Linked DNA regions of Ovis aries. The protein of the gene in region 1 interacts with the protein of each later gene in a pairwise test. Links are inferred from orthologs where the notes say so. Each region holds a gene or a part of one and is shown in the gene's direction. Other genes may lie near its edges.

Region 1 (4,037 bases):
AAATGGCAGTCCATTCCAGTATTCTTGCCTGGAGAATCCCATGGACAGAGGAGCACGGCAGTCTACAGTCCATGGGGTCACAAGAGTCAGACAGGACTGAGCAAGTTAGCACGCATGCACGCACCGGAGGAGTCTCACTTTAATATAAGTTAAATATCAGTGGCAGAATCATAAATATTTTTAAACTACCATAGATCAGAAAGGACAGTATCTTTGGATTGTTCTTTTTATAATCAAAATCAGAAAAGCCTGATACAAAATTTGTGGAAATGCTTATATTTCAATATTTTTCTGTTTCTCTGCTAGTCAATTTTGATAGCTGTTGTGCTTCCTTCATAAATAAGGGAACTAGTCTCAATTGTAATGACTGTGCTTTTCTCAAAGATTTTATGCCTATAATTTACACAATACCACAAATCAGCCAAATAGCTCTTAACCTTATTCTTACTTCAGTGTATTATTTAGAAATTTTATTTTAAAAAGCCACAGTTTATTTTTGGGTTCTTGGTTATTATCATAGGGTTTCGACAGTTTAAGCTGGCCTAGTAGCTTTACAAGTAGGATTTAGTTAATTTCAGAAGAGAGAAAAAAGCCATTGCCTTTGCCTTCCCCCCTATACACTGAATTAACTCCTGTTTTCTGTGTGCAGGTATGATCAGATTGTGAGCATTTTTTTTTTTAACGTGAGGCATATATATTTGGCGAATAAAATGTGCCCACTTCTCTGAGTTCTGAAGACAAACCAATCAAATCAAGCATTTTTTCTGTAAATGTAGTAAGTACTTATCTGATATTCTATTTAATAACAAAAACATATCATAAAAGCATCTTCCTTGGACTTTGTTCCTTTCCTTTGTTGTTTGATTGAAAAAGCCCTTTCTACCCCAGTGAATACTCTATTTATTAAGCCCAGGAGACCAGAGATGGTTAATGCAACACGAACGTCTGTGACTTCTAAAAATTTGCATTATTTTGTGTGAGGCATCAAACTCCTCCTTGAAAATCATCTTCTGCGGGCAGTGATTAAACTTTTCAGCTCAGACCCCTTTCATGCTGCGGGGCTGGCCCTTCTTATTCGGCGTTCCTTGCTCTCTGTCTCCCCGTCTTCAAAATGAAACATGATATCCTCAGCCAACAGAGCCCAGAGAGGCTGGTCATTGGCGCCCATTGTCCCCTGATGCTGCAGCCCCGCCCCCTTGGCTGGCGCTGACAAGCTGTTTATATTTTTCTAAGGGCCACCCTTTAACTCGGCGGCCTGATGACTATAATGGGCCCGATTGTCTGTGGGTTGCAGAGCGCCGAGGCCCCACATCCAAGGAGGCAGGGGCCCGTCTCTGATGCACCGGAGAGGCGGATATGGAATACCGGTAAGGGCGCTTCTAAGGGCACTGAGATGCCTTTTCTGGGCTCACAGGCGGCTCCTGGGCACTGTTTTGGAGAAACGAGTAGTGATCGAGTTGCTAGCTTTTTCCTGGTTTTAATTTTCTGCCTGCTCAAGACGGAAGGAACAGATTGGGTCTCTGGATTTGCTGACGAAGCTCATAGGGATCCCTGTGGATCCAGGCAAGAACCGAGAAGGGAGGCAAAAATCCAGGGAGAGACGCACGCAAGCGGGTTTGACACCAAAGCCACATGAAAGAGGCAAAGCGCGGGGCTGCCTGGTGATGCCGTGAGACTCTAGGGCTGTTTTCTCTTCTGACTTAGCCGTTCGCAGCCAGAATTTAGCTCTGCCGCTGTGGATTTCTGTAAGCCAGCTGTCGGCCAGTGTAACTCGGTCAGCCTCTTTTGAATGCGTCTAGAATCTGCGGGGTTTTCAAAGGGCAAACCGTAGTAATCTTGTGTGCCATAAATTGTTTTATTCAGAAACGTGAGAACGGTTTAGAGCTGCAGGCTGTAAAGTTTTTACTGCCCCATTAAAGTGTTCAGAGGGTACTAAGGCCGGCTGCAGTGGGGCTCGGGAATGAGGGAAAGCCTGGGGCGATGAGAGCATTTGTCCGTGACTAGCCGAGGAAGAAACCCGGGGGCCCTGAAGACCTCACGTGAGAGGCGGGAGCGAGCCCAGAAAAGGGCTGCGCCAGCCCTCCTGGGGTTCTGTCTGGTTTCTGCGCGTGAGTGAAGGAGGGCGGAGAACCGTTCAGGCATCCGCCTCTGGTCCCGGATTGCAGCATCGTGGATGCCCCCCGCCCCCCGCTTAGGCAGAGTAAGGCACCTCGCCTGGGGCAGAGGGCCACAAGGGGCAAGCAGGGAGGAGGTGCGCAGTTACTGGGCTGCAGGCAGGGACGAGGGGCTGGGCCTGTCTAAAGCCTTGGGAATTGCTTTAAGAATTCCCGCCTCCTGCTGAATAGAAACTCACTATGGCAGCTTTGATGGGAGGCTTTTGTCTCTTTGCCTTTCACAGGAGCCTCACGGTGCAAAGTCAGTGAACCCAGTCTCTGCTTGATATGGACAGGAGCCTTAAAAGGGGAGGGGTATGGCTCAAGTTTTAGACAAAACAAAGGGTGAATTATGGGGCTTTAATGCATCTAGTGCTTTATAAATCTCCCCACCTCACCTAATCCCCGGCCTCAGTACTTATTATCCAGACACAGCATGTTTAAAGCCAACATGATGTAGGGCTCCTGGAAGACTTAAATCAGATGCAAAGTTTTTTTTTAAATGAAGTTGACCCAAAGCATCATGAGTGTTTCAGCGCAGTGTATGAAGACACCTGGTGATTTCCAACTGCGGCCAGGCTCTCCTTCCCTGGTCTGGGTGCCTGAGCAAGGGGGCGAGTTGCCCCATGGGTGCTCTGGTCCAGGAACAGAGCTTCTGGCCCTGCCAGTGCTGCCCTAGAGATATGGGGCTCACAGGTGTGAATCACCCTGTCCTCTTGCCTCAGGCCTCCCAAATCCTGGCTTCCTTCAGGTCATCGTACTCTCCTGTTTCTACCCCACAAGCACCCCCAGGGGATGGTCAGAGAGGTAGAACCAGGAGGAGGTGGTGAGAGCCGGGGTGAATTCCAGGAGATTCCACGTAAACAAGGGCAGCCTCTGCCTGCCTTCTTTTATCAGAATGGTGGGCACTCCAGGCTCTGGAAATCTCAGACACAGCATCATTTTTAGGTACAGAATTTATGCTCATGATAAAAATAGAAGATTTACAATATAGAGTAGTATTCCTCTGTGTATGTGTGTTAGTCACTCAGTCGTGTCTGACTCTTTGCAGCCCCATAGACTGTAGCCCGCCAGGCTCCTCTGGAATTCTCCAGGCAAGAATACTGGACTGGGTAGCCATTCCCTTCTCCAGGGGATCTTGCCGGCCCAGGGATCAAACCTGAGTCTCCTGCATTGCAGGCAGATTTGTTATCATCTGAGCCATCAGGGAACCCTTCTAGAGCTTTTCAATACTGAGGGCTATTATGAAACCAAAGAAACAAGCCTGTGTGGATGAAATACTATGACGATGACAAAGTCTAACAGAAATAGTACCTATCGTTTGTTGAGCACGTACTATGCGCCAGGCCTTTTTGTGCATTTTCTCACTCAGTCCTCCCTAATCCCTTTGAAGTACAATTCTCATTTTATGAAGAAAGAAACTGGGGCACAGAGAGGTTAAGTAACTGGCCCAAAGTCACACAGCTTATTAGTGACCTGAAATGTGAAGGTACACAGCACATCACCTTGTGTTATGAAGTGAGGAGTTTCTGTGGAATAGAGTTGGCATTTTCAAATTTACAGTTTTTCAAGAATCCATCACCACAACCAAAATGTGACCTCCTGTGGGAATGTAATTGGTGGCTGGGAAAGAAAGCCAAGAACCACTTCCTTTAAATGAACGAGAGCGCCAAAGAACAGCAGCCTTGTCCAGCGAGCCAAGTGCCAGGGAGGGCCAGCTGTGGGGCTGGGGGCCCTTGGGCCTGGCCCTGCCACACCACGGTGGGCCTGTGCTGTGTGGTACTGGACCCTGGGAGGAATGACACACAGCAGAGGAACCAAATAACACGGGGGTGAAAGGAAACAGCTGAGTCAGACACTCCTGGCTCCAGCCTGTGATAGAAA
Region 2 (3,500 bases), on another chromosome or scaffold:
TCTGCCCTGAGCAGGTTGCTGAAGGCGAGCTCTCCTTTTTTTTGCGTGCAGATTTGTTTTCCCGGGAGCCAGTAATTCCTTCCTCGTTTTGTTTGCTCTCTGTGTCGGCTTAGCACTCATTTTTTCAGATTCTGCTCCCAAACTGATACACTTGTCTGAAACCGGGGTCACAAGTGAGGCCATCTGCTGGCGCTGCTCCAGGAGCCACCCCTCAGCTCCTCCGGCCCGTCCATCTGCGTCAGGCATGCTGCGCGGGGCTGACCGCCTGCCTCCGTGCGGCTCCTGCTGCGGCTCCCCTGTCTGCACACTCCCTGACCTCAGGCCTGCCGGCTCGGAGCAGCCCCGTTAGCACACAGGTTGCCGGGTCCGTGCCGGGCAGGCCCAGCTGGGCCCTGCGCTCGGGAGCTGGAATCGGGTCTGCCTTCCTGTTGGGAGCCTCTGCTTCCGGCTTTTTCGGGTGTTCGGCAGAATCCTGTTCTGGCACTTTGAAGAGCTGGGGTCCCATTTTCTTGCTGGCTGTGAGGCAGGACCACCCTCCACTGCCGAAGGTCACCTCCTTCCTGGCCTGCAGTTCCCCACGTCTTCAGAGCAGCCAGTGGGGTAGCTCACGCGTCGGGTCCCTCTTGCTTTAATCTCGATGACCACGGTGAGCCCCGCCCGTCCTGTTTACGGACTCGCCCGATTAGGTCAGGGCCCCCCCCCAACCCCGACCCTGTCCTCCAGTCACTATGCCCTGTGCCGTGACCTGGCCCCCAGCTGCAGCCCACCTGCTCACGGGCCCCGGGCCAGGCGGCCATGAGTGCAGGAGCCCGTCTTGGGGCCGTCGTGCCCTTGTGCCTGCTAGAGTCAAACGTCTGGTTCTCCTGGGTTGGGTGGGGCCAGACTCCCACCAGCATCTCTGAGAGGCGGAGGCCTGGAGGCCCTGTGTGCAGCCGTCAGTGGCTGCTGAGGGAGCGTGCACGCTCGATGGGCCTGTGCCCCGGTCCCCAGGGTGTCCCTAAGGCGTCTCCAGGGCTGGCGGTGGAGCCAGTCTGCCCCACTCTCCTTCCTCTGTGCCTGGTCTGTGCCCCTCCCAGGCTGCTCGCACGTTGCCCCTGGAGATTCTGGAAGTTCTCTGGGTACTTGTTGGTACTTTCCCCGCCTCATTTTCCCTTTTCTCTCTCTGGCCCTCCCGTGGGGGGGGACCTGCTTTCTGAGAGATGCTTGTTCTGCGATGACTGGCACAGCGTCCCCTGCTCTCCTGCCTGTCTGCACTGCGCAGCCTCGCTCTCTGCTTTCCAGGCCCGTCCTTCTCTTCTCTGCGCGTCTCTCTCCTTCAACCCCCTTGCCCCACTTCTGTCTCTGTCGCGCTCGTTGCAGACTTTCTTCACGTCCCTGTCAGAGGCCCTGGGAGCTCACTGGCCGCTCTGGGCCTGGTGGGTCGTGCCCCCCGCCTGCACCTGCATTCTCCTGCCCAACACCCCAGGAGCCAAGTGGCGTGGGGCTGGGCCTGCCGTCCGGGGTCAGCATAGTGCCTCTCCCCCTGGGCTCAGGGCTTCTCAGGCCGCGCCCAGGGACTCTCCACGGCCCCTCTGCGGTCTGCCCGCCCGCCCAACCGTTGCTCCCGGGCGGTGATCATTCGGTGACCTAGGAGGCAGTGTCTGTCTTCCCCACCCGGTGCCGCCGCACTCCGGGGCCAGCAGGCCACGCCCGCCCAGTGTTCTGTCCCTGAGGCCACGCACAGAACCGTCCAGAAGCCTCCCTGCTCGTCAGGGCGTGTGGCTGCAGCCCCCAGGACGCGCGTGCTCCCTGGTTAGGGCTGTTTGTCAGAGACCAGTCTTGCCTTCCGCTGCTCTTACACTCACGTCTGACCTTCCGATTCCTCTCCCGTGTTAGAATAAACAAGAGCAGAGAGCCCCGGACAGAGACGCTATCTTCCGAGCCACCGCCAGCCTGCCTTCCCACAACATGGACCGGGCCGTGGTGCAGACCAGCGCGAGGGACGTGAGTGCCCGCGGGGGCTTTGTGGCCACAGGGGGCCGAGGAGACCTCCTGAGAGCACTTGGGAAGCAGGGTGTAGGGGGTGCAGGAACTCTGCGCTATATTGAAGCTTTTTTGTAGGCAGATTAATTCAAGATAAAGGGTTTAAGAAGACGTTGAAAGGCAGGGCCAATAGGATTCGATACTCTGGGGAAATGTGAATTTTCTGAGTTTGGCAAAAACCTTTTAGAGAGAAATCTGACTCTTGCTTATTTTGGATCGGAAGGTTCTGAGTTAAAGCAGAGCATTTCCAGTGCTCCCAAGCCAGGGCCGGGCCAGGACTCGGTGCCCGCTGGGCAGGAGTCGGGGGTGGTGCCCCCAACACTGCGGATCAGTCTGCAGGCTCTGCCACAAGCTGGTCAGTTCAGGAACACTCCTCTGAGGGTCTCCTCCAGAGAGTTCTATGTTCGCCAGGGCATTGGAACCCGGGCACATGTATCTCTCGCTGGCCAGCGCGTGTGTCTCTCACTATGGCTGAGCCTCAGTGTCGGGGAGACTGGAAATTGGTGGGTTTCTGATGACATTGCCAGCAGACCCCCACTGTGTTGAGAAGATGAACTTGAACTGGTTGCACTGAATGCTAGAGGCCCACATCAGTGGAACCCATGGAATCCGCCTGTTTTGTTCAGTGAAGCCTAAGCTCTCAGCTCGCTTAGCAGCCATTGGGCCAGACGCCTCCTCTGGGCTGGAGCTGAGCGACGGGTCCTCTCCCGCCCGCCCTGCTGAGAGCCCTGTTACTCTTCTGCCCAGTTTTCTGGGCGTGACTTGACGCACAGATTGGGAGTTTCAGGCCAGGGGTGTTGTCTCGGATCCAGGCAGCTTTGTTGAGCATCTTGTGCTTTCACCGCAGTTCCAGACGGAGCTCCGGAAAATCCTGGTGTCTCTCATCGAGGTGGCTCAGAAGTTGCTGGCGCTGAACCCGGATGCCGTGGAATTATTTAGGAAGGCAAACGGTAGGAGCGGGCCCGGGCGGAGGCCCACCCGTGGCCGCCACTGTTCACACTCCCCACGGAAAGGCAGTAAACGGGGCCTGGTGGACGCCTCACACTGTCGCCCGTGCCTGCACGGCAAGAGCTGATGGGTCTGTCTCAGGTTTTCTGAGGTGTAAGAGGTCAGCCACAAAAGTCTGATGCTGAGGCGGGCGCTGGGCCCGCGGGGAGCTCGGGGAAGCACCCCTTGTGCGGCCGGGCATGCCCCGAGCCCTCACGGTGCCACGTCTGGCCCGCAGCCATGCTGGACGAGGACGAGGACGAGCACGTGGATGAGGCGGCCCTGCGGCAGCTCACGGAGATGGGATTCCCGGAGACCAGGGCGGCCAAGGCCCTGCGGCTGAACCAGTACGTCTGGGCCCCACGCCGCGGGTGACGCCCCTCTGCCCCGGGCCCCATGACTGAGCCGCCTCCGGTGCGCATGAGTGTCGGTAGAGGACCCGGACACGTGTTCCAGAAGCACGGCACCGGCCGCCTCCAGGTCTTAGAGGG
Region 3 (3,500 bases), on another chromosome or scaffold:
CTGTGCTTCAGAATCCCCCTCCATAATTCAGCTTCTCCCAGGACGAGTCTTCAGTCTCAGGCAGCCTGTTCTCTTGAGGTAGTAAAGGGAAACACCAACTGCCCCAGATTTCCTCCCATCAGCTCTGCAACAAGCAGAAATGAGGTTCCTCCACCCCAACTGTTTAGAAACTCTCCCGAGGCAGCCTCTGATTGGCCATCTCGAGTCACATGATCATCCGAGAGGCACTCGCCATTGCCAGGTGAATGGAAATCCCTGATTGGCCTCACCGGGGTCATGTGACTGCCTCTGAAGCCAGAACTGGGGTTAACTGGCGCCCAGGCCATAGAGGAGGAGACTGGAGTTGCCTGGAGTCCCCTCCAGGGATCATAGGAGGAAGAGAGTCTTGGTGAAGGGTACTCAGAGGTTCCCAGGAAGGTGGGGGCTGACGGTGAAACCACACGGAGCCCCAGAAAACCTGGTAAGGGATGGATTTCCTGTCTCTAGGACAACCCCTTCCGTCAGAGGATCGCCCAGGTCTTCTCCGAGGATGGGGATGGCCACATGACCTTGGACAACTTCCTGGACATGTTTTCTGTGATGAGTGAAATGGCTCCCCGTGACCTCAAAGCCTACTACGCTTTTAAAATTTACGGTGTGTGCGCAGACCCCAGGGTGGGGAAGTGGGAACGAACCCAGGTCTTGGGTCAGGGACTGCATGGCCATCGCCTATGCCTCACCAAGGGCTCTGAGGCCCTGCCTGGCCCTGTCCTTCACCCCACCTTGGTACCTCCCCCTCCACTCTATCCCTCTGGTAATTCCATCCAGCTACACTGGCCTGGCTGTCTCCCCAACACATCAAACCCTTTCTGCCTCTGGGCCTTTGCCTCTGCTGTGCCTTTTGTCTAGAATACCTTTCCGCTAGTTCCTTCTTACCTTGATATTTCGGTCCAGAGTAGTCCCTGCCTCACTGCCCATGCCACATGCAATTTCTCTCCTAGCATGGAGCAGTGCTGCTTAACTTCTTGTTCATTCGTCTGTTCACATCTTGTTGATTTTCTCTCTGAAGAGACCCAAGAGCAGTGACAGTGTTTGGTTTGCCATCTGTCTCTGGCACACAGTAGGTATTCAGTAAATATTTGTTGAATGAATGAATGAAAACTTACCACAGTGCCTGGCACAAAGTAGGCACTCAATAAATACTTATTGAAAGAGGGAATGTATGAAAAAAATTATCAGTTGCTTGACATGTAGTAGTGTTAGTCTCTTAGTTGTGTCCAGCTCTTTGCGACCCCATGGACTGCAGCTTGCCAGAGTCCTCTGTCCATGGGATGCTCCAGGCAAGAATACTGGAGTGGGTAGCTATTCTCTCCAGGAGATATTCCCCACCTGGGGATTGAACCTGAGTCTCCTGCGTTGCAGGAAGATTCTGTACCATCTAGGCCCCCAGAGATTGACACATAGTAAGTGCTCATTAATACTTGAGTGAGTGAATGACCTCCCAGCAGTTACCTACCCAATTCCAAAGCAAGATCTGGCTGTTAGCCCAGGGTCTTGGGTTCCCTCCACTGCCTCAGTTTCTTCCTTTGTCACATGGGGACAAGATGTATTCACCACTGGCCCAGCCTGCCTGGTCCCTGTTGTCTGGTCACCCCCATGTCCCCACTTGTCCTGCTTTGCAGACTTTAACAATGATGACTACATCTGTGCGTGGGACCTGGAGCAGACGGTGACTAAGCTGACTCGGGGGGAGCTGAGCACTGAGGAGGTGAGCCTGATATGTGAGAAGGTGCTGGATGAAGCCGATGGGGACCACGATGGGCGGCTGTCCCTGGAAGACTTCCAGAACATGATCCTTCGGGCACCAGACTTCCTCAGGTGATATTCCTCTCCACTCTGCACAATCCATTCCCATGTATGAAAGGAGCGCTCACAGATTAGATCCACAGACTCTGAAATTTCCTCCATTTTTTCATTTGTGACCTTGGGGAACTTTCCTGACCTCCCTGGCCTCAGGCTGTGTCTTTTGAATGGGGCTAATTAGAGACCCTGGGGACACCTCTTGGGGGTGGACACGCTCTTTGGGTGAGTAGAACATGGTTGGAACTTCAGCCCTCACTTGCCTTAACATTTTGCAGTGAACAGACTGGACAACTGTACTTGGCAACCCTAGGGAGAATCAGCGCTCTAGGGAGGATTGTTGTTGTTCAGTCGCTCGATCGTGTCCGACTCTTTTGCAACCCCATGGACTGTAGTCTGCCAGTCCAAGGGATTTTCCCGGCAAGAATACTGGAGTGGGTTGCCATTTCCTTCTCCAGGGGATCCAGCATAGATTAAATGAGTTAATAAAGGGGGTGGGTGGGAATACATAGAAGATGTTTTTATATCTCCCATGAGCTTGGAATGGTTTTTACATTTTTAAATGATTGGGGGAAAAAAAACATACTCCACAACACATGAAAGTGATATAAAACTCAGATTTCCATGTCCGTTGCTGGTTTTATTGGCATACAGCCATGCCTATTTGTGTTCACAGTGTCCACAGCTGCTTTTGAGCTTTAAGGTGACATTGAGTCATTGTGCAAAGTTGTAAATATCAATCATTTGGCCCTTGGCAGAAGGAAGTTTGACTGACCTTGAGCTAGTACATGGAAAGAATTTAGAGCAGTTCCTTGCACACAGTAGGTGCTCAATAACTGTGCGCTATTGTTACTGTTGTGGCTTTCATGCCCAGAGGACCTCCTTCCTCTACCCCGGATAAGCAAGGCTGGTCTCGTGGCCACTGAGACATGAATAATGACATCACGATGAGTCCCTTGCCACTGACTGAGTACCCGATGTGTGTCCTGCTCTGTGTATTTGCCTCTTTTTAGCCCTCATTACTGTCTGAGCCACCAAGCTTCCCTAGAGGCTCGGATGTTAAAGAATCTGCCTGCAATGCAGGAGACCTGGATTTGATCCTTGGATGGGGAAGATACCCTGGAGAAGGGAATGGTTACCCACTCCAGTATTCTTGCCTAGAGAATTCCATGGCCAGGGGAGCCTGGGCGGCTACAACCCATGGGGTCGCAAAGAGTTGGAAATGACTGAGCGATGAACACTTTCCATTCTTTCCATTCTTCCAACACTTTCCACTCGTTGCAGTTCAGTTAAAGAGGGATAGCTGTTACCCCCATTTTGTCGTTCAGTCTCTCAGTTGTGTCTGACTCTCTGCGACTCCATGGATTGCAGCATGCCAGGCTTCCCTGTAATTCACCATCTCCCGGAGGTTGCCCAGACTCATATCCATTGAGCCTGTGATGCCATCCAACCATCTCGTCCTCTGTCTTCCTCTTCTCCTCCTGCCTTCAATCTTTCCCAGCAACAGGGTCTTTTCCAGTGAGTCAGCTCTTCGCATCAAGTGGCCAAAGTATTGGAGCTTCAGTTTCAGCATCAGTCCTTCCAATGAATATTCAGGACTGATTTCCTTTAGGATGGACTGGTTTGATCTCCCTGGTATTCAAGGGACTCTTCAAGAGTCT
Region 4 (3,500 bases), on another chromosome or scaffold:
GTCACATTTAAAAAATCTAATCTATATTTATTTAGAAAAATCAGGTTTTTAGGCAATTAAGAGATGAGTTCCTATTTTGAATACTATAACTGCATTGTCATATCAAACAATTTTTCCTCCATATAGTACAAACAAAATCCTGAAATGTTCAAACAGACAGCTCGACTTTGGGCACATGTGTATGCTGGAGCACCAGTTTCTAGTCCAGAGTACACCAAAAAAATAGAAAACCTATGTGCTATGGGCTTTGATAGGGTAAGTACATACAGGCATGTTGATTTTTATTTATTTGTTAAATTATTGTTGCAAATCCTTGGCTGACAAAAGTGGTTCAGTGGTACTCTGAATCTAATTTTGATAAGCAAACTTTGTTATTAAAACTAGTAATTTTTTTTTTTAAACTTTGGCTGGTTCCAGTCATTGATTTTTTATTTTAAAAAATAATTTTATTTGCTTATTTTTGGCTGTGCTGGGTCTCCACTGTTGCTTGGGCTTTTGCTCTAGTTATGGCGAGCTGGGGCCACTCCCTAGTTGTGGCATGCGGGCTGCTTATTGTGATGGCTTCTCTTGTTGCGGCACATGTCGTTGTGACTCCTGAGTTCTAGAGCACAGGTTCAGTAATGGTGGCACGTGGGCTCAATTGCTTCACTGCATGTGGGATCTTCCCCGACCAGGAATCAAACCTGTGTCTTCTGCATTGGCAGGCGGATTCTTTACTTCTGAGCCACCAAAGAAGCTCTAGCCATTGGTTTTAGAGTTTTTAATGCACTACAAGTGCAGGGTAACTTAAAAATGAAAAAACAAGGTGTGGTTTCTTTAATATAAAGACTGAGTGATACCGTATTTTTAAAATATTTCCTTGAGACTTTATTTTGTCCCCTTTTCTTTTCTACAGAATGCGGTAATAGTGGCCTTGTCTTCAAAATCATGGGATGTAGAGACTGCAACAGAATTGCTTCTGAGTAACTGAAACATAAAGAGAGATGCTGATATAGTCAAGCTTGCCCCTTCTTGGAGGAGCATCAACATCTGTTATTTTTAGGATTCTGCATAGATTTCTTTTAAACTGGCATTCTTGCCTAATGATGTTATCTAGGCACCATTGGAGACTGAAAAAAATCCCTGCTCTGTAAATAAAGCTAATTAAACGTCTGTGTAAATTTAAAAAGGGGAAATACTTTAATTTTTTTCTTACTTAATAGTGTAAAAATTCTTTTGAGCTAAGCTAAAACCATGGAAAAAACATGCTACTTTAGTGTTTAGCAGTATACCAAGACTAGCAAGAGTTTGCTTCAGGATTTCGTTGAATAATTAAGATAATATTTTGAGTGTGTCAGGGCCATTCAAATTGTTGGTGTTGCATCACAGCTACCTTAACTGTTTTTAACATGGATCCTCTGTGCCTGTGAATTTACTTGCATGCTTGTACTTGACTTCTTAGGATGGGTAGCTGAAAAGACCACCATTTTAAGCATTTGAGAATTCTTCAATATGAGATTTATCCAGAAATGAAGATGGTGACCTAGTCAGAGCCTTTTTGTCCTTGTCAACAGACTGGGACAACATATCTGTTTTTCCCCTCTTTCCACACACAGCTAATATTCTAATAATAAATTTCTTTATATTTGGTGGGGAAATGTGCTGAAGGACAGTATCCCTTGCTCCATTTTAGGTCATCCATTTGGAATGTTTTGTCACAATTCTCCACTCTTAAAACTTTCCTATATAAATACTGTAAAAATGGAGCTGCCAATTTTCTTTTTTTTTTTTTTTTTGTAAAAACAGTAAATACTTGATGTTGCAGTATTCCCAGATTAAATGAAAAGAACCCAGCTTAATTTTTCAGTGAGTTTAACGTCTTTTGATTTTTAAACTGATGGACTTTTTCTTTGAGAACTTGCAAGGATGAAATCAACTGTTTGCAGGTTTTTTAGCCTGATTTTGGCTTTATAGAGATTGCTTGCACTTCCCCCTATTAACACATGAAAGCTGTGTTGGTGTTTTACTGTACATACTTCAGATGCACATAGGAATAGAAGTGTGTTATAAATCTAGCTTTCTTTATGATGTTTCTGATAATATGAGAATTGAAAACTTTACCTTCTCTTGTACATAGTCAGACTTTCTATACGTATTAAAGTTAAACTTCACTCCAAGTTTAAAGTTTGAAAATTATTAGTTTTGCAAGCTCTAACACTAATGTGAACATTTTATGAAGGGTGAAATGGATTTGTGTAGGCAGTTCTATACATAGAAACACAGTTCTTATTAAATATTCAGGACCAATGCAAAAATAACAAAAATGTAATGAAATCTGAATGAATTAAAGTAAGGCTGTATATGGAAAGTCATATTATAAAAGGTTTTTGCTTTCTTCAAGTGTTATTTATCCTAAATTATAATGGTTAAGTGTTTGGAAAATAGTTTTGAACAGTAAATTCAGCATAATTTCATTTGACTTCTCAATAATCTTAGAAGCAATAAAAAGAACCATTATTAAATATATTGTAATGTTAAGATGTGAAGGTTCTTCCAGAAACATAAGGTTTTCCTAATTAGTAGTAAAACTCTTGTAGTTGATTTTATTGCATACTAAACACAAGTTGCTGTTTTTTCCCCTTTGTTTGCCTAAGTATAAATTTCTTTATACAATCACCTTCTTTAATTGTAATTTAGTTACTTTCTAAAGATGCCAAAGGAAACAAGATTTTCTTTATTTATTTTAAATAGCTAAAACCATGTACTTTTCTTTATATTTTGAGGTAAGGTTGGAATTGTGTGAAAATGTGGACAGTTTTTGTTCCATTGTTGTTTAGAATTATTTTTTTTTTTTTGTTTAGTGGAGGGTGGCTTGGTAATGTTAGTAATATTTGCATTATTTTAAATATCAAACACCTCTACCCAGTTTACTATTTGCCTGTATTATCAGGGTATATTTAATTGTCCTGTGGTTTGACAAATGAGAGAGAGAACTCAGAAGTTACTAAGGATCAAGCATTGTATACTTTGCTCTTGGCGGCAGCTGTAACTTGCCTATGACTTTTATGCACATTAGTCCCTTAGGGTATACTCATCTAACTGCAATTCAACATCCCCAGTGTCCAGGAAATGGAAAACTACAATATTTGGTATGAGAGGTTCTCCATAATGGATCTTCATTTCAAAAATTTACCTCATTTACATTTAATGTGATTATCTGTTTTCTGGTACATTTCCCACTATCGCCTTCTTACGGGGTTTTTGTTTTTTTTCCTATTTTCTCCTATTTTCTACAGATAGATTTATTTCCCCAAACATAAAAATAAAGGCAGTTGCTTTTTTCTCCTGTCTTATATATGTTTAGAAAAAGAATAGTAAAAGTGCAGGTCTAGGGAAAGTATATCCTGTTGGAAATTATTTTTATAATCCTCAGTGGTTTGTGATTTGTTAGTTGTAAAGGCTTCAAAAATTATAGTTAAATGTATGTGTAGTTTTATCCCATCTGGGCAGACAGTTTGCTG
Region 5 (2,694 bases), on another chromosome or scaffold:
GAAACCCAGGTGTCTTCGTCACTGCCACCCTCCACCCCCCAGGGCCAACAAGCCTTCAGCTCCGCCACTCCCTGCCCCTGGGGCCGGTAACCAGAGCCAGGCTCCAGCCGGCTTTTCCGGTTGGAGGTTGGAGGTGGTGCCCAGAGCGCCCCTGAAGGGGGTGGGGGTCCACGCCCCGGAAGTCCCGAATCTCGGGACTCTGTGGTCCAGTGACGGAGGGATCCGGGGCTAGCCGCCTGGGTACCGGGTGTCTGGAGTCAAGGAAGCAGAGCGAAGTGTTTGGGACCGGCGTCAAGGGTGGGAGGAGATGCCTGGGCTTGGGGAGAAGGCCACACCGACGAGCGGTGGTGCAGCGGCCTCGTGGAATGCCCCTTCTGAACTCTGAGTGGTCAAGCCCAGTCCCATCGGGGCAAGGGTGCCTGGGAACAGAGGTGGTGAGGACTTACCGAGCAGTAAGTACTTACCACCTTAAGCCAAGCATTCAGTCTTAGTCGCTTGGCTCCAGGAAGGAGGTGAGGTCTAGGGGACGGGGGAGGGGAAGGGAGCGCACAGCCGTGGGTTCTGCCGGAGTTCGGCGGGGCGGAGCGCGGATACTGGGAGCAGAGGCGTTGATGCTGGCTCTTCTGGGGGCCTGGCTCACAAGGCGCCCTATCCTGAGCTTCCTGCTGTCCTCATAGGAAGGATGATTCCGGTGGCGGAGTTCAAGCAGTTCACGGAGCAGCAGCCCGCCTTCAAGGTGCTCAAACCTTGGTGGGACGTGCTGGCCGAGTACCTCACCGTGGCCATGCTCATGATCGGGGTCTTCGGGTGCACCCTCCAGGTAAGGGGCGGGGCGGGGCGGGGCGTGGCCTGGATGGGGCGGGGTTTCCCAGGGGCGGGGTCTGGGAGATTCCGGAAGTCTTCCCTTATCCTATCATAGTTCTAGAGACTGGACATCCGAAATCAAAGTGTTGACAGGGCTGGTTCCTTGCGAAGGCTGTGCCTCTCGTCTAGACTCTGGTGGCCTCAGGCATTCCTTGGATGATAGAGGACACTCTCCCTGTATCTTCACAGCATCTTCCCTCAGTGTGAGTGTGTGTGTGTGCCCAAATTTCTCCCTCATCTTAACTTGATTACATCTGCTCTGCAAACACTATTTCCAGATAAGGCATCAATCACAGGTCAGGTATTTGGGGCTTAGGACTTCAACATCTTTTTTGTTTAATATTTATTTACCTGCACCAGTTCTTAGTTGCCTTATGTGGCATTTTTACTTGCAGCCTGTGAGATCTTCATTTTTTTTTTAAGTTGGAGCATGAACCCTTAGGTGTGGCATGTGGGATCTAGTTCCCTGACCAGGGATCAAACCCAGGCCTCCTGCATTGAGAGTGCCCAGTCTTAGCCACTGGGCCAGCAGGGAATTCCCTAGGTCTTTAACATCTTTTTGAGGAACACGAATCAACCCAGCTCTTTTATTTCCAGACAAAGTCCCGTATTCAAAGGTTTAATGACTCTTCCAAAGTTACAGCCAGCTGAGGACAGCTGGGGATCAAGGCAGACCTCTCCTGCTTGCAGCCTGCTTCCTCTCCCTGTAACTTCCCAGGCCACCCCAGATCCTTCACCCTCTTTCATACCCTCGCCCCCATCCCCAGGTGACGCAGGACAAGATAATCTGTCTGCCCAGTCATGAACCCCGGGAGAATTTATCTGAAGCCCCGTGCCAACAGCTGCTGCCCCGGGGGGTCTCAGAGCCCATGGGGGACCTCCGGGAGTTGAGCGGCCTCAAGAACAACCTGGACCTACAGCAGTACAGCTTCATCAACCAGCTCTGCTACGAGACGGCCCTCCACTGGTATGCCAAGTACTTTCCCTACTTGGTTGTCATCCACACGCTCATCTTCATGGTCTGCACCAGCTTCTGGTTCAAGTTCCCCGGCACCAGCTCCAAGATCGAGCACTTCATCTCCATCCTGGGCAAGTGTTTTGACTCGCCATGGACTACTCGGGCACTGTCTGAGGTCTCCGGGGAGAACCACAAGGGCCCTGCCGCCACCACAGCTGGGCAGGCGACAGTGACCTTGACCACAACGGCAGGGGAGGGCGAGAAGGAGAAGGTGTTGCCAGAGCCCGAGAAGGTGGTGACAGAGCCCCCAGCTGTCACCCTGCTGGACAAGAAGGAGGGGGAGCAGGCCAAAGCCCTGTTTGAAAAGGTCAAGAAATTCCGTGTGCACGTGGAGGAGGGTGACATCCTGTACACCATGTACATCCGGCAGATGGTGCTCAAGGTCTGCAAGTTCTTGGCCATCCTGGTCTACAACCTGGTCTATGTGGGGAAGATCAGCTTCCTGGTGGCCTGCAGGGTGGAGACCTCGGAGGTGACAGGCTACGCCAGCTTCTGCTGCAACCACACCAAAGCCCACCTCTTCTCCAAGCTGGCTTTCTGCTATATCTCCTTCGTGTGTGTCTACGGGATCACCTGTCTCTACACCCTCTACTGGCTCTTCCACCGGCCCCTCAAAGAGTACTCCTTCCGGTCAGTTCGGGAGGAAACTGGCATGGGCGACATCCCCGACGTCAAGAACGACTTCGCCTTTATGCTGCACCTCATCGACCAGTACGACTCGCTGTACTCCAAGCGCTTTGCTGTCTTCCTCTCTGAGGTCAGCGAGAGCCGCCTGAAGCAGCTCAACCTCAACCACGAGTGGACTGCCGAGA

The links. The genes of interacting proteins can lie anywhere in the genome.
Region 2: the proteins of TRIM2 (region 1) and UBAC1 interact in binary tests that used the Homo sapiens proteins (3 or more experiments, as listed by UniProt). The link is inferred for Ovis aries from reciprocal best matches to the Homo sapiens genes TRIM2 and UBAC1.
Region 3: the proteins of TRIM2 (region 1) and CIB3 interact in binary tests that used the Homo sapiens proteins (3 or more experiments, as listed by UniProt). The two-hybrid records come from large-scale screens. The link is inferred for Ovis aries from reciprocal best matches to the Homo sapiens genes TRIM2 and CIB3.
Region 4: the proteins of TRIM2 (region 1) and UBE2K interact in binary tests that used the Homo sapiens proteins (3 or more experiments, as listed by UniProt). The link is inferred for Ovis aries from reciprocal best matches to the Homo sapiens genes TRIM2 and UBE2K.
Region 5: the proteins of TRIM2 (region 1) and LRRC8E interact in binary tests that used the Homo sapiens proteins (3 or more experiments, as listed by UniProt). The two-hybrid records come from large-scale screens. The link is inferred for Ovis aries from reciprocal best matches to the Homo sapiens genes TRIM2 and LRRC8E.

Annotation. Positions count from the first base shown.
Region 1 is NC_056070.1:4,654,207-4,658,243, reverse strand, and holds the start of TRIM2 (tripartite motif-containing protein 2), read left to right. Parts: upstream 1-1,237; 5' UTR 1,238-1,337; coding exon 1,338-1,367; intron 1,368-4,037. UniProt on the Homo sapiens protein: UBE2D1-dependent E3 ubiquitin-protein ligase that mediates the ubiquitination of NEFL and of phosphorylated BCL2L11. Plays a neuroprotective function. May play a role in neuronal rapid ischemic tolerance.
Region 2 is NC_056056.1:3,458,687-3,462,186, forward strand, and holds part of UBAC1 (ubiquitin-associated domain-containing protein 1), read left to right. Parts: intron 1-1,875; coding exon 1,876-1,983; intron 1,984-2,869; coding exon 2,870-2,972; intron 2,973-3,247; coding exon 3,248-3,356; intron 3,357-3,500.
Region 3 is NC_056058.1:6,629,666-6,633,165, forward strand, and holds part of CIB3 (calcium and integrin-binding family member 3), read left to right. Parts: intron 1-486; coding exon 487-634; intron 635-1,661; coding exon 1,662-1,857; intron 1,858-3,500. UniProt on the Homo sapiens protein: Acts a an auxiliary subunit of the sensory mechanoelectrical transduction (MET) channel in hair cells. Plays a role in regulating hair cell MET channel localization and function.
Region 4 is NC_056059.1:59,576,193-59,579,692, forward strand, and holds part of UBE2K (ubiquitin-conjugating enzyme E2 K), read left to right. Parts: intron 1-126; coding exon 127-255; intron 256-895; coding exon 896-970; 3' UTR 971-3,500. UniProt on the Homo sapiens protein: Accepts ubiquitin from the E1 complex and catalyzes its covalent attachment to other proteins. In vitro, in the presence or in the absence of BRCA1-BARD1 E3 ubiquitin-protein ligase complex, catalyzes the synthesis of 'Lys-48'-linked polyubiquitin chains.
Region 5 is NC_056058.1:14,391,051-14,393,744, forward strand, and holds part of LRRC8E (volume-regulated anion channel subunit LRRC8E), read left to right. Parts: intron 1-177; exon of another isoform or gene 178-677; 5' UTR 678-682; coding exon 683-820; exon of another isoform or gene 821-829; intron 830-919; exon of another isoform or gene 920-1,067; intron 1,068-1,631; coding exon 1,632-2,694. UniProt on the Homo sapiens protein: Non-essential component of the volume-regulated anion channel (VRAC, also named VSOAC channel), an anion channel required to maintain a constant cell volume in response to extracellular or intracellular osmotic changes.